Linked DNA regions of Xenopus tropicalis. The protein of the gene in region 2 interacts with the protein of the main gene of each other region in a biochemical or structural test. Links are inferred from orthologs where the notes say so. Each region holds a gene or a part of one and is shown on either strand. Other genes may lie near its edges. The genes, in order: bcl2l2, bad and bcl2.

Evidence for each region.
Region 1: the proteins of bad (region 2) and bcl2l2 interact in a biophysical measurement, tested with the Homo sapiens proteins (4 studies listed by BioGRID and IntAct, with this or other methods). The link is inferred for Xenopus tropicalis from reciprocal best matches to the Homo sapiens genes BAD and BCL2L2.
Region 3: the proteins of bad (region 2) and bcl2 form a complex in vitro, tested with the Homo sapiens proteins (5 studies listed by BioGRID and IntAct, with this or other methods). The link is inferred for Xenopus tropicalis from reciprocal best matches to the Homo sapiens genes BAD and BCL2.

The regions. Positions count from the first base shown.
Region 1 is NC_030677.2:139,702,342-139,705,261, forward strand, and holds the end of bcl2l2 (bcl-2-like protein 2), read left to right. Parts: intron 1-428; 5' UTR 429-439; coding exon 440-856; intron 857-1,019; coding exon 1,020-1,169; 3' UTR 1,170-2,339; downstream 2,340-2,920. UniProt on the Homo sapiens protein: Promotes cell survival. Blocks dexamethasone-induced apoptosis. Mediates survival of postmitotic Sertoli cells by suppressing death-promoting activity of BAX.
Region 2 is NC_030680.2:35,248,696-35,252,452, forward strand, and holds the start of bad (bcl2-associated agonist of cell death), read left to right. Parts: upstream 1-1,315; 5' UTR 1,316-1,820; intron 1,821-3,757. UniProt on the Homo sapiens protein: Promotes cell death. Successfully competes for the binding to Bcl-X(L), Bcl-2 and Bcl-W, thereby affecting the level of heterodimerization of these proteins with BAX. Can reverse the death repressor activity of Bcl-X(L), but not that of Bcl-2.
Region 3 is NC_030682.2:85,817,498-85,821,254, reverse strand, and holds the start of bcl2 (apoptosis regulator Bcl-2), read left to right. Parts: upstream 1-1,226; 5' UTR 1,227-1,799; intron 1,800-2,158; 5' UTR 2,159-2,432; coding exon 2,433-3,179; intron 3,180-3,757. UniProt on the Homo sapiens protein: Suppresses apoptosis in a variety of cell systems including factor-dependent lymphohematopoietic and neural cells. Regulates cell death by controlling the mitochondrial membrane permeability. Appears to function in a feedback loop system with caspases.

The DNA.
Region 1 (2,920 bases), on a different chromosome or scaffold from region 2:
ATATATATATATATATATATATATATATATATATATATATATATATAATATAGTACACAGGGAGGAGCACACCCTATACAAGTCCAAATACCCTTGGTGCAGGTCAAAAACAAAAATAAATATAATAAAAAGAGTGTCACACACACACAGGGACTTGAAGTGTTTTATTGAATAAATTCCAACTTTTCGAGCACAACCAGTGCTCTTCCTCAGGGACAAACCAACCAAACAGGGTTGGTTTGTCCCTGAGGAAGAGCACTGGTTGTGCTCGGAATGCTAAGAAACTTATAGGATGTGATATTCATATTCAATGCTGTGATCCATTTCAAGTCACAACTATGTTATCCAAATCAAATGTTTCTTAAACATTTTACCATAGTAATATGTCTGATATTTTGCCTTATATGAGCCCTATGTATTTGTTACAGAGCAAGGCTGGATGGCGCAATCTGAACTAGGATCCCGGGCTTTGGTAGAGGATTTTGTGCGATACAAGTTATGCCAGCGTAGTCTAGTTCCGGAGCCTGCAGGAGCAGCATCCTGTTCTTTGCATTCAGCCATGCGTGCTGCAGGGGATGAATTTGAAGAGAGATTCAGACAAGCATTCAGTGAGATCTCCACACAGATCCATGTGACCCCTGGCACAGCATATGCACGCTTTGCAGAAGTAGCAGGTAGCCTGTTCCAAGGTGGGGTGAATTGGGGTCGTATAGTTGCATTTTTTGTTTTTGGTGCCGCACTGTGTGCTGAGAGTGTCAACAAGGAGATGTCCCCTCTTCTGCCACGGATTCAGGACTGGATGGTGACATATCTGGAGACAAACCTGAGAGACTGGATTCAGAGCAATGGAGGCTGGGTAAATATTTCCCCATTATTCTTCTTACTGCCTTTGTTCCTCACTTGGAACCAAAGTAAACTCCTCTCCACATTGCAGTGCATGCTCTTACAATCCTGACTGCTGTGAATCCCTTACACAGTAGTGATTAATCTTTCTTTGTTTTGTCATCTCTCTCTCTCAGAATGGATTTCTAACTCTATATGGGGATGGTGCCATAGAAGAGGCCAGGAGGCAGCGTGAGGGGAATTGGGCATCACTGAAGACTGTCTTAACTGGAGCAGTAGCTCTGGGTGCTTTAATGACAGTAGGAGCCTTGTTTGCCAGCAAGTGATAGAGACTTAGAAAACAGACAAGTAATAGACACTAAGAATTACCTGATACAGTTTATTCATGTACAACCAGTCCGAAGGAGGTGTGTGTGCTCATGAGTGTTAATTTCAGTTCCAGCTCTCTCTCTCTCTGTTTGTCTTTATTTGTTAATCTTATTTTGTTATAGTCTGACTGGTGTATTTGTGAAGGTGTGTGCGTGCTTTGTATTTGCGAGCCTCAGTCTCTTATTAAGTGTGCAGCGTGCTTAATTTGTTTACGTTTCTGATTGCCTGTGCTGCTTTCCCTGTACAGCATTTGTATTTTGTCCAAACTTCTTTTCTCTTATGCCTGTTGTTCTATGCAGAATTTATATGTTCTCTTGTATGTGTAATATTTACTGTGTCTTTGTTACAGCGTGACTGTTTTTAGTTTTTGTTGCTCTGTTGTTGCTCTGGATATGGGAGCAGTAACTTTAAAATGTGTGTGCACATTGTGCTTGGATGCAATGATTCTGTGAATGATGCTGATATTTATCACTTTTTTCTGTTGGCTTGTGATGCTATATACAACTCCTGACGAAGTAGGAGTCGTCTTCTCTCTGGTAGCCCGACTAGGCAACTACTTATTTGCAGAGAGCAGAAGATTTGCGGTCTGTTTGATATGGCTCACTTGCCATTGGAGATGTGACTTTTTGCAAATCTATAATTTGCATGTGTGTTCCTCCAGCTCACTGGTAGATGTTTTCCAGAGAGCTGCAGCACACTTCTTTGAGTGATCTATCACTCTCCAAAACAAGGTTGATTACAAAATCAATTAGCAAAGCCTTGGTTTTTCCCCAGATAATGATCATCATTCCTCATATTTCTGGACTTGCTGCTGTCTCCAAAGTGTCATTAGCTTCGCAGGGATAGGAGCAGATACTGCTCTCCTTCCCAAACATCCTGATGTGTTGTCATTCATCTCTCAGCATAAATGCAGATGAAGGAGAGCCTGCTTCATACATGGACCGAGATGGCAGTTGAACCCACCCAAGTAGAATGAGCTCTGAGAGAACAGGGTGGGGATGCACAACTCAACACAGCCTCCTTCAGAAATAATTCAGGGGGTAGTGTTTTGTATTTCCTCTGTATAGAACACTAAAGGAAGGGTCTGGCAAAGTTCTCATTGTGCATTAAAGATTCCTGGCTGAGGAGACTTCTCTTCTCATTCATTTCACATAGATTATTCTCATTATCTATACATAGCAGAAACTTGCTATAAATTAGTGCTATGTTTTTGGTGAACAATTGTAGCTCTCTGTAACCCCCTTTATGGCTGATGGTCAGTTTGGCTTTCATGGTAATACATAGATGTTATTTGTGTAACCCCTCTTGGCTGCTGCACTTTTTAAATTTTCTAGCCACATTTACCCTGAAACTCTGTATTTCCACCCCATTAGAAACAGTGTCACCACAGTAATTAATATTACAGTGTACTGTATATAACCCACCCTAGGCTCTTTTTAAAAGTGCTCCACCCTGCTGCAAAAGTCCCCCACCACATTTAATGTTACCTGTGATCTGCCCCTTTGCCTTGTACCTGGGCTGAGAAAGTAGAGTAGAGTAGTGCAGTGGAGTTGGCTGCTGCCATGTCACATCCGGCGTGCTGGCTCCCAAGCTTTGATTTCCAACTAGAAGCATGTGCACTGTAAGCTTATTGGGTCCTGGTTTCCAGTTGGCAATTAACACAGGGCAGCCTGCGCACCACATATGACATGCAAGCCACTAAACCCCT
Region 2 (3,757 bases):
ACTGAAGAAGCATGACTGCTGAACTAACCTAACCAGTCTTCACTTTGCCCGTAAGCAATACACAAAACTGATGATAATTACAGTTGCAGATGTAAATATTGTTATACAAATTGCAGGACACAATTTAGTATTATTACCCTTTGTTTATATAGTGCCAAAACATTTACACTGCACAGTTATTGTGTCTAATTCACATAATTTCCTGATCCTTGATCCCAATTAATAAGAGAAGAAAGGTAAAAATATGCAAAGGCTGGTATTTTCTCCAGAAACGTGGCAACCCTAAATGGAGAATATCAGTGGCATATCTAGTGTGCACCAGTCCCACCACCACAAAAATATCTTCAGAGGCTGCTTCCTATATAGTTATAAAGTCTTCCCATCCCGCTTGCAAGTATCAGAGGGGCTGGGGAGGGAAGACTTTGCAACTATATAGGAAGCAGACTGCAGTCTGCTTTCTCTATATTTACACCACTGAGGTATATGTCAACGGCCATGCGCCCCAATTGTGCTCCTTGTAGTCTACTGTCTGTAGTCTGCCCTATTGCTGAGTATTTTGGGTGCATTTTCCATGGCAAGGGTTAGCTTTAAGCCAGGTAAACAGAGAGCAGGATAACTCCAAAATATTTAATGCATTAACAGGTCTCACACAAAGGGGCATAACTAAAAGGGAAGCTGGAGGCCATTTGGACACTGACTTAAAAGGCATGTGTACCTTGAATGTGAAACATTGAGGTTTGCTATGTTCCTTTTATTATGTTTCAATAAATATTGACTTTTTACACCTATATTCTAAATCCTGTGATTGCTGACATTACTTTTACTATACTTTGATCATACGGCTCTTGCACCCAGGTCCTGACTCTGTTAGTGGAGTGCACCATTATGTCCTCTGACTATATGATTATATACGAAAAATGTTAAACTCCCAAAGTACTTTTAGTTATGCCACTACAGACACACTAAATTCACTGCAGTGATGCACAGCACTTCATTTGCAGTTAAAAAGCTATTATTTTTTCATGGCTCAGTCAGATCAAAAATACTACACACTACTCCCAATTTCATCAGGAGGCAGAAGCCAGGTAAGCTGTCTGTGTGCTTTTCCAACGTGTAAGGAAATGAGAGGTTTATCTGTTGGATTTATTGCCCTTAATGTCTTGTATGTGTAAGGTTGCTGAGCACTGAAATGCTTTCAGTGCTCAGTGCTACCTTTCACAACAGTTTGCATAGAAACTACTTCACGTTTAGCCTTGCAGCATGGAGGGAATTCTCCAGCCAATCATTAGTACAGGACTCAGAGGGTCCCGCCCACACAGCCGAAAAACAGGAAGAGGAAGCAAAACAAGGGGACAGGGAGAAAAGCAGTACTGGAAGACAGAGGCTGCTGGAGAGATAATATCAGAATCCAGGGGGAAGCAGTGTGCAGCCGTCTGGGAGTTGCTTCCTTCAGTTTCCTGGACGTTTTGTGTGTGTGTACAAGGCATCAGCAGCCAGTGTGAGCCTGTGCAGCAGCCGGACAGCCATCTTGACAGGGAGAGAGAGCTACAGTGAGAATAGGAAGCAGGGTTCCTTCTGAACCGAGTTATTTAACCCCTACCATGCCAGTGACACTGGGATTTCTGCAACCAGCCATTTAGCTGTGAGTCTGTGTTAGGTCTATGGACTGGGGAGTCCCTATGTTGCTGGATGTTTCCACAGCACTCGGAAGTGTCTCCATGATTTACTATAGCTGCCGCCTGCTAGGGTTCCATTGAGCAAGTGGAGCAGCTGAGGCGACTTCAGGGATTAAACTGTGAGCTCATCAGCACTCCAGCAGAGTAAGTAGGGCTTCCAGCCCAGCCTTTCACACATCTGACTGCACCCAAGGGAAGCCCTTACTGCCGTCACAGTGGGACACAGGAGAGCTGCTACCTTGGGGCAAGTTGAGCAACTTACCTTAGGTGGCAGCACCCGACAAATTGCCAGGGGTGGTAAAAAGACTCCTGGTAACTTATAAAAATCGGAATTTTAGTGCAGAGATCACTATTATGCTCTCTGCACTAGTGATTCAGCCCCCATCAACTTTCTCCAACGCAAAAAAAAAACAAAACATGGGGGGGGCTGGCATCACCTTGGCCGCCCCAGGTTGGCACTGAGCCCGAGACGGCGCTGCATCTGCATCCTGTGTTTCCTCCACACTAACAGACAAAACTATTTTCCCTAGTATAGCTTTCAACACATAGCAGAATCTGTCTTTCCAGAGAGCCTGTTGTTTAGGCTGCTGGTGCCATTTGCAGCACCTTAAACTCTCGTTAAAGGGCCCCACCCCGTTAGTATGCACTATAGCCAGCTGACAAGGAGTTGGGAACTTAGGTGTGCGCACAAGGAAGTTGGTAGGTTCATATAAGTACTGTTCTCAAGGTGTTGTTATAACCTTGTCAGTAAGGTATTATGCTATCTGACCACTTCCGCCTATATCACTGTGTAACCAAAGTGTCAGTGTCTGGTTTGACCTTCTCAGTTCAGCCAATCATACCTGATGCCTGCTAGTATGGATGTCACCTTTAAATTCACCTTTAGTTTTGTGTAGACAGTGGTATTTTGAGGCAATTTACAACTAATATTCACAATTTTCAGTTCCTTTTTTAATCATTTAGCTTTTTGTTTGTTGGACTAAACACTAAAAAGGTGGCCATACATCCTTTAGACAGAATCGGAAGCTTATTTGCCCATGTATTAGCATGAACGACGGGCCAGATCTCGATCGGGCAGATTTGATTTTTCTGTTAGATCGGGGACCACATTGGCTTGTTAATGTGGTCCACGAACCTAAGGCGCCTATTCCCACTGTTTTAATTCCATTGTTTGGCTCTAGGGCCAAACAACTGAATTAGCCCGATATCACCCACCCCATAGGTGGGCATATCAGGAGAAGATCCACTCTCTTGGCAATCTCTCCCAAACACTGTAGCACAGTGCAACAAGTGAGTGTATTCACTAAACAAAAGGTGTGGTGATTGGTCATTGTACTTCCTACTTTAATATGAAGCTTTTTTTTATATAGGTATAATTTTATTAACAACAGACAGACATTTATGCCAAACATTTGCAGAATACATTAGTTTTAGTTGGTTGGCCAGTGATACAACCATACTATGTGCAAATAGAGATATGCATATCACTTTGGTTATAGTACATGTTATGTAGGTTCAGTCCAGTCCTGCTTCAATCCACGGGGTCCAAATCAGGTCAAATTTAGTCTGTGTTCCTCTCGCTTCTGAGGTAAGATTAATTAGTGGGATTGCCTGGTTTACCAGTTGTTTCCATGATTTTATGGTCAGTAGATGTGGTCCCATCCAGTGCATGGCAATATGAAGCTTTTTAATGCTTAATTTATTAAATATAATTTTGTATGCTAGAAAAAAAGAGCTACTTTCTGTATTCTTTTTAATCCAGATTCATCCTCCAAAAAAATCAATGTTCCTTCCCAAATATTTTACAATCATTGTCATCAGTCTGAAAAATGATTTCATTTTTTAGGTTCTTGTAGTCCTATATCTCATTACAGAAGTGAATAACGCAAGCATTCACAAAATCATAGGCTGTCCTTGAAGAAAAAGAAGCCAATAAACTATATATAGTTTCCCTAGGTAAATTAAACACCCTCATAAAAAGTTCCCACTGAATTTAAAAGCGCAAATGAGGCATTGGAATTAAAAAAAGCCTTAACTTCTGCCACATTTAGTAACCCGTAGCAGCCAGTAGAAGCTACCTT
Region 3 (3,757 bases), on a different chromosome or scaffold from region 2:
TCCTTAGTTTCATCTGATTGGCAGTAAAGGGGTTACAGCACTTGTTGATATGGATAAAAAAAAACAGCTCATGTATGCTTTGCAGCTACTGTGCCACCATGATGCTGTTATGTTTGTAACAAAAAAAACATTTACTACTATCAGCCTAACTATTTTAATAATATTTGTTGTGGCAGTTGCCAGTTACAAGTTAAAGTGGTCCTACTGTATATACATGATGAGCACAGAGCAAAATAACCCCTTCTAATCTATCACAAATTAGAAGTTATTTCTTTATTGCTGTTACTCTTTTACCTTTTTAACAGAATATGCTTACTGTGGTGGGCCATGATCCAATACAGAAATCTTTTGTTTTTAGATAGTAGCATACCTAAAAATGTATTCTATCCAACATCTTTAGGGAGTTAAAGGGTTTGTTAACTTTTAAATTGACTATAAATATGACATAGACAATGATATTCTGAGACAGTTTGCAGCTGGTTTTCATTTTTTATTTTTTGTGTTCAGCAGCTCTCCGGTTTGGAATTTCAGCAACTATCTGGTTGCCAGGTTCCTGTTTACCTTAGTAACCAGGCAGTTATTTAAAACAGGGACTGGAATATGGATAGGAAAGGGGCTGAATAGAACCATAAGGAATAAAAAGTAACATTTACAAGAACATTGTAGTCTCACAGAGCAATTGTATTTTTTGGCTGTGGGAATCAGTGACCCCTATTTGAAAGCTGGAAAGATGTAGATGAGAAATGCGAATATATCAAAAAGTATAAAAAATTAATAAGGAAGACCAATTCCAAAGTTGCTAGGAATAGGATATTCTATAACATACTAAAAGTTAACTGAGGTAAGCCTCCCCTTTAATATCACCCCTTGTTTTGGGATTAGAAATCATTTTGAAATGAAAGGCATCACTGTTGACTAATATTCAAACCTAAATGCTTAATAACAGTTTTAGCAGCAGGAAAAACCAGTAGAAACCCCCTATTGCACCCTATCCTTTTTTGAGTAATGAAACACTGTTTCACTTAAGGAAAATACAAATAAAAAGTTATCTTGCTGTGAAATTATGTTATTAATGAAAAGAAATCTCAAAAATACTAATACAATTGTGCTTGGGTACATTTGTTTGAATGTGAGCGCACAGTAGGGAGACGCCACCTGCAGAGGGCGCTCCGCCTCTACACTAAATGGCATGCGCACTGACGAACCAAAAGGAGGAAATCAGTCCGCCCAGAAGTAGAAGGGTTTCAGTGCTGTCCTAGCACAGGAGGACCCAGCACAGCGGACAAGCAGTGTCCCGCCTCCAGCCAGCCACGCTGTGTGCTACACGGAGGCAAGATGAAGAAGGCAACAAGGACAATAAAAAGAAACTAAATCACACACAAACACCACCTCTGCTATATTCTCCTGTGTTTAAGAATCTACAAGAATGTCTTTTACTGGCCAGAGTTTATTCCTGTGCTGGATTAAATGAGAGGGATTAGTACTTTTTTTTGCCGTTTCTGAGCAGCAGCATATGTGTGTGGGGTGTGAGAGGCTGAATAAATGGGAGTGAGCAGAACACTGTAGCAGGATCTCCAGTCAGAGGAGGTGGAAAAAAAACTGCATTTTGCTTTCACTGGCGCTTCTGGGTTGCCTGGGTGGCCTCTAAAGCATTTCCTACACAAGGATGCTTATGCGATGTTTGGACTGTTTCATTGATGCATTTAATTCCCCCTGAGGATTTAAGTCAATATAACCCCAGCATATCTGGAACTTGTTTCATGGATTCAGATGAACAGGGAAACCCAACAGCAGAGCAAGTGAGTATCTTGCTTACTTATTCTCTGCTTGTGTATACAGAAGTTATGTGTATATGTCTGTTTCAATATATACATCACATCAACATATACACACGGGGAAAAAGATGTATTATTTTCTATGCAGCATTTTATAATAAGATATTTAAACATGCACACACAAGTGGGTGTATATATATGTGTGCTTAGTGGTTCTGGAGTACAGTGGGTTCATGATGCTGTGAGTATCTAGTCGCATTAGTATATGTAAATGCACATATTATGTCTGTGCATCAGCTCACAGACTAGATTCATGCACATCACTAAACTTGTCACACGGAAACCCCACACACAGCTTTAAAGCTGATTTGTTTTTGTTTCAGGATCAAGTAGGGAATGTCCCTTGAAAAAGCGCAGCTAACAATGAAAGCACCTTTAGGAGGGAAATTTCAATAAAGCTACAGAGCTCCACAAGGAGGAAGAGGGGGAGGAATATTTACAGCAAAAGAATGAAAGAGCTGCCGCAGGACCTTTCGCTTACAGCAAATACATTATAAGAGCTAAAGGAGCTGTTTGAGTAGTTCTGGGCGAAGTATTTTGGTTTATAACCGAATATAATCTTTTCACCAATCCCCTGCCATTAGTCCGTGGACAAATATGGCTCATCCTAGGAGAGGAGGCTATGATCACCGGGACATAGTGGTAAAATATATCCATTATAAACTGTCTCAAAAGGGGTATGAATGGGAAGAGGGGCGGCAGCAGGTCTCTGCTGAGCACCCTCAAGCTTCTGCTGCTATTAGTAATTATTCTGATGATGGAGAAATGCCTGCTGCTTCCGCAGATTCACGTGGACCACCTCAATCTTCACTCGCATCTGCTGCTGCTTCCTCAGATGAGGAAACCCCAAGTAATGCTCCAGCCACCTTCGTGGGCAATACACCTGCTGTTCCCAGGGGGTCTGCACCTGCTGCTTCACCCTTAGCTGAATTGAACGTTGTACCAAGAAATCTTAATGTTAACCCAGATGCCAGTCGAGAAGCAGATGGTGATGATGATGATGATGAAGCAGCTATGCAGCCGGTCCCTCCAGCAGTGCTACAGACCTTAAGTCGAGCTGGAGATGAGTTCTCTCGCCTCTATCAGCAAGATTTTAGACAGATCTCAGGGCTCCTCCATTTAACCCCATCCACAGTTAGGGTGCGCTTTGCAACAGTAGTGGAGGAGCTCTTTCATGATGGGGTCAACTGGGGAAGGATTGTTGCTTTTTTCGAGTTTGGTGGGGTCATGTGCGTGGAAAGTGTTAATCGAGAAATGTCTCCTCTGGTGGATTCCATTGTGGGTTGGATGACAGAGTACCTAAACAGTCACTTGCAAAATTGGATCCAGGAACAGGGAGGATGGGTATGATTTTTACTGTACCTATTATATCTAAAAAGTATATACTCATGTATATATATATGTATCCCAATGTGTTTCTAATGTTTAAGATTCACCATGCTGTGCAGTCTTTTAATGTTTGAATGAAATACTTTGGGAAAAACCGGAGGAATTAAAATGACTGATATGGGAAGCGTAGCATATTTAAAGGGTATCTGTTAATGGTGAAGAAGCTAGAAAGTGACCTATGCTGTGATATTTAACGGCAAGTAAGGTCACATGACTGCACCGAGTGAACCAAAATGAACTTGAGGCATGGAGCCTCTATGAAACTCAGAAGAGTCAAATTAGACTTTAATAAGTTTAGCTCAGCTGTACAAGCCTGTAAGTGTCACTCTTGCTAAATGATATCAAAGACAGAGCTTCCTCTACTCAGTTTTTGTTCTAATGTAGCCTGGGACCAAACACTAGGTAAATTGGCAACTGACTGCTAGCCTGGAGTGATACATCACTGTTAAGCCTGTAAGAGGGAATGATAGTTAGTGTCTGGTTTCTTTTCTCTCCGAGCAAATCAAAGGTACTTAAGTCAATTCAGCTGTTGA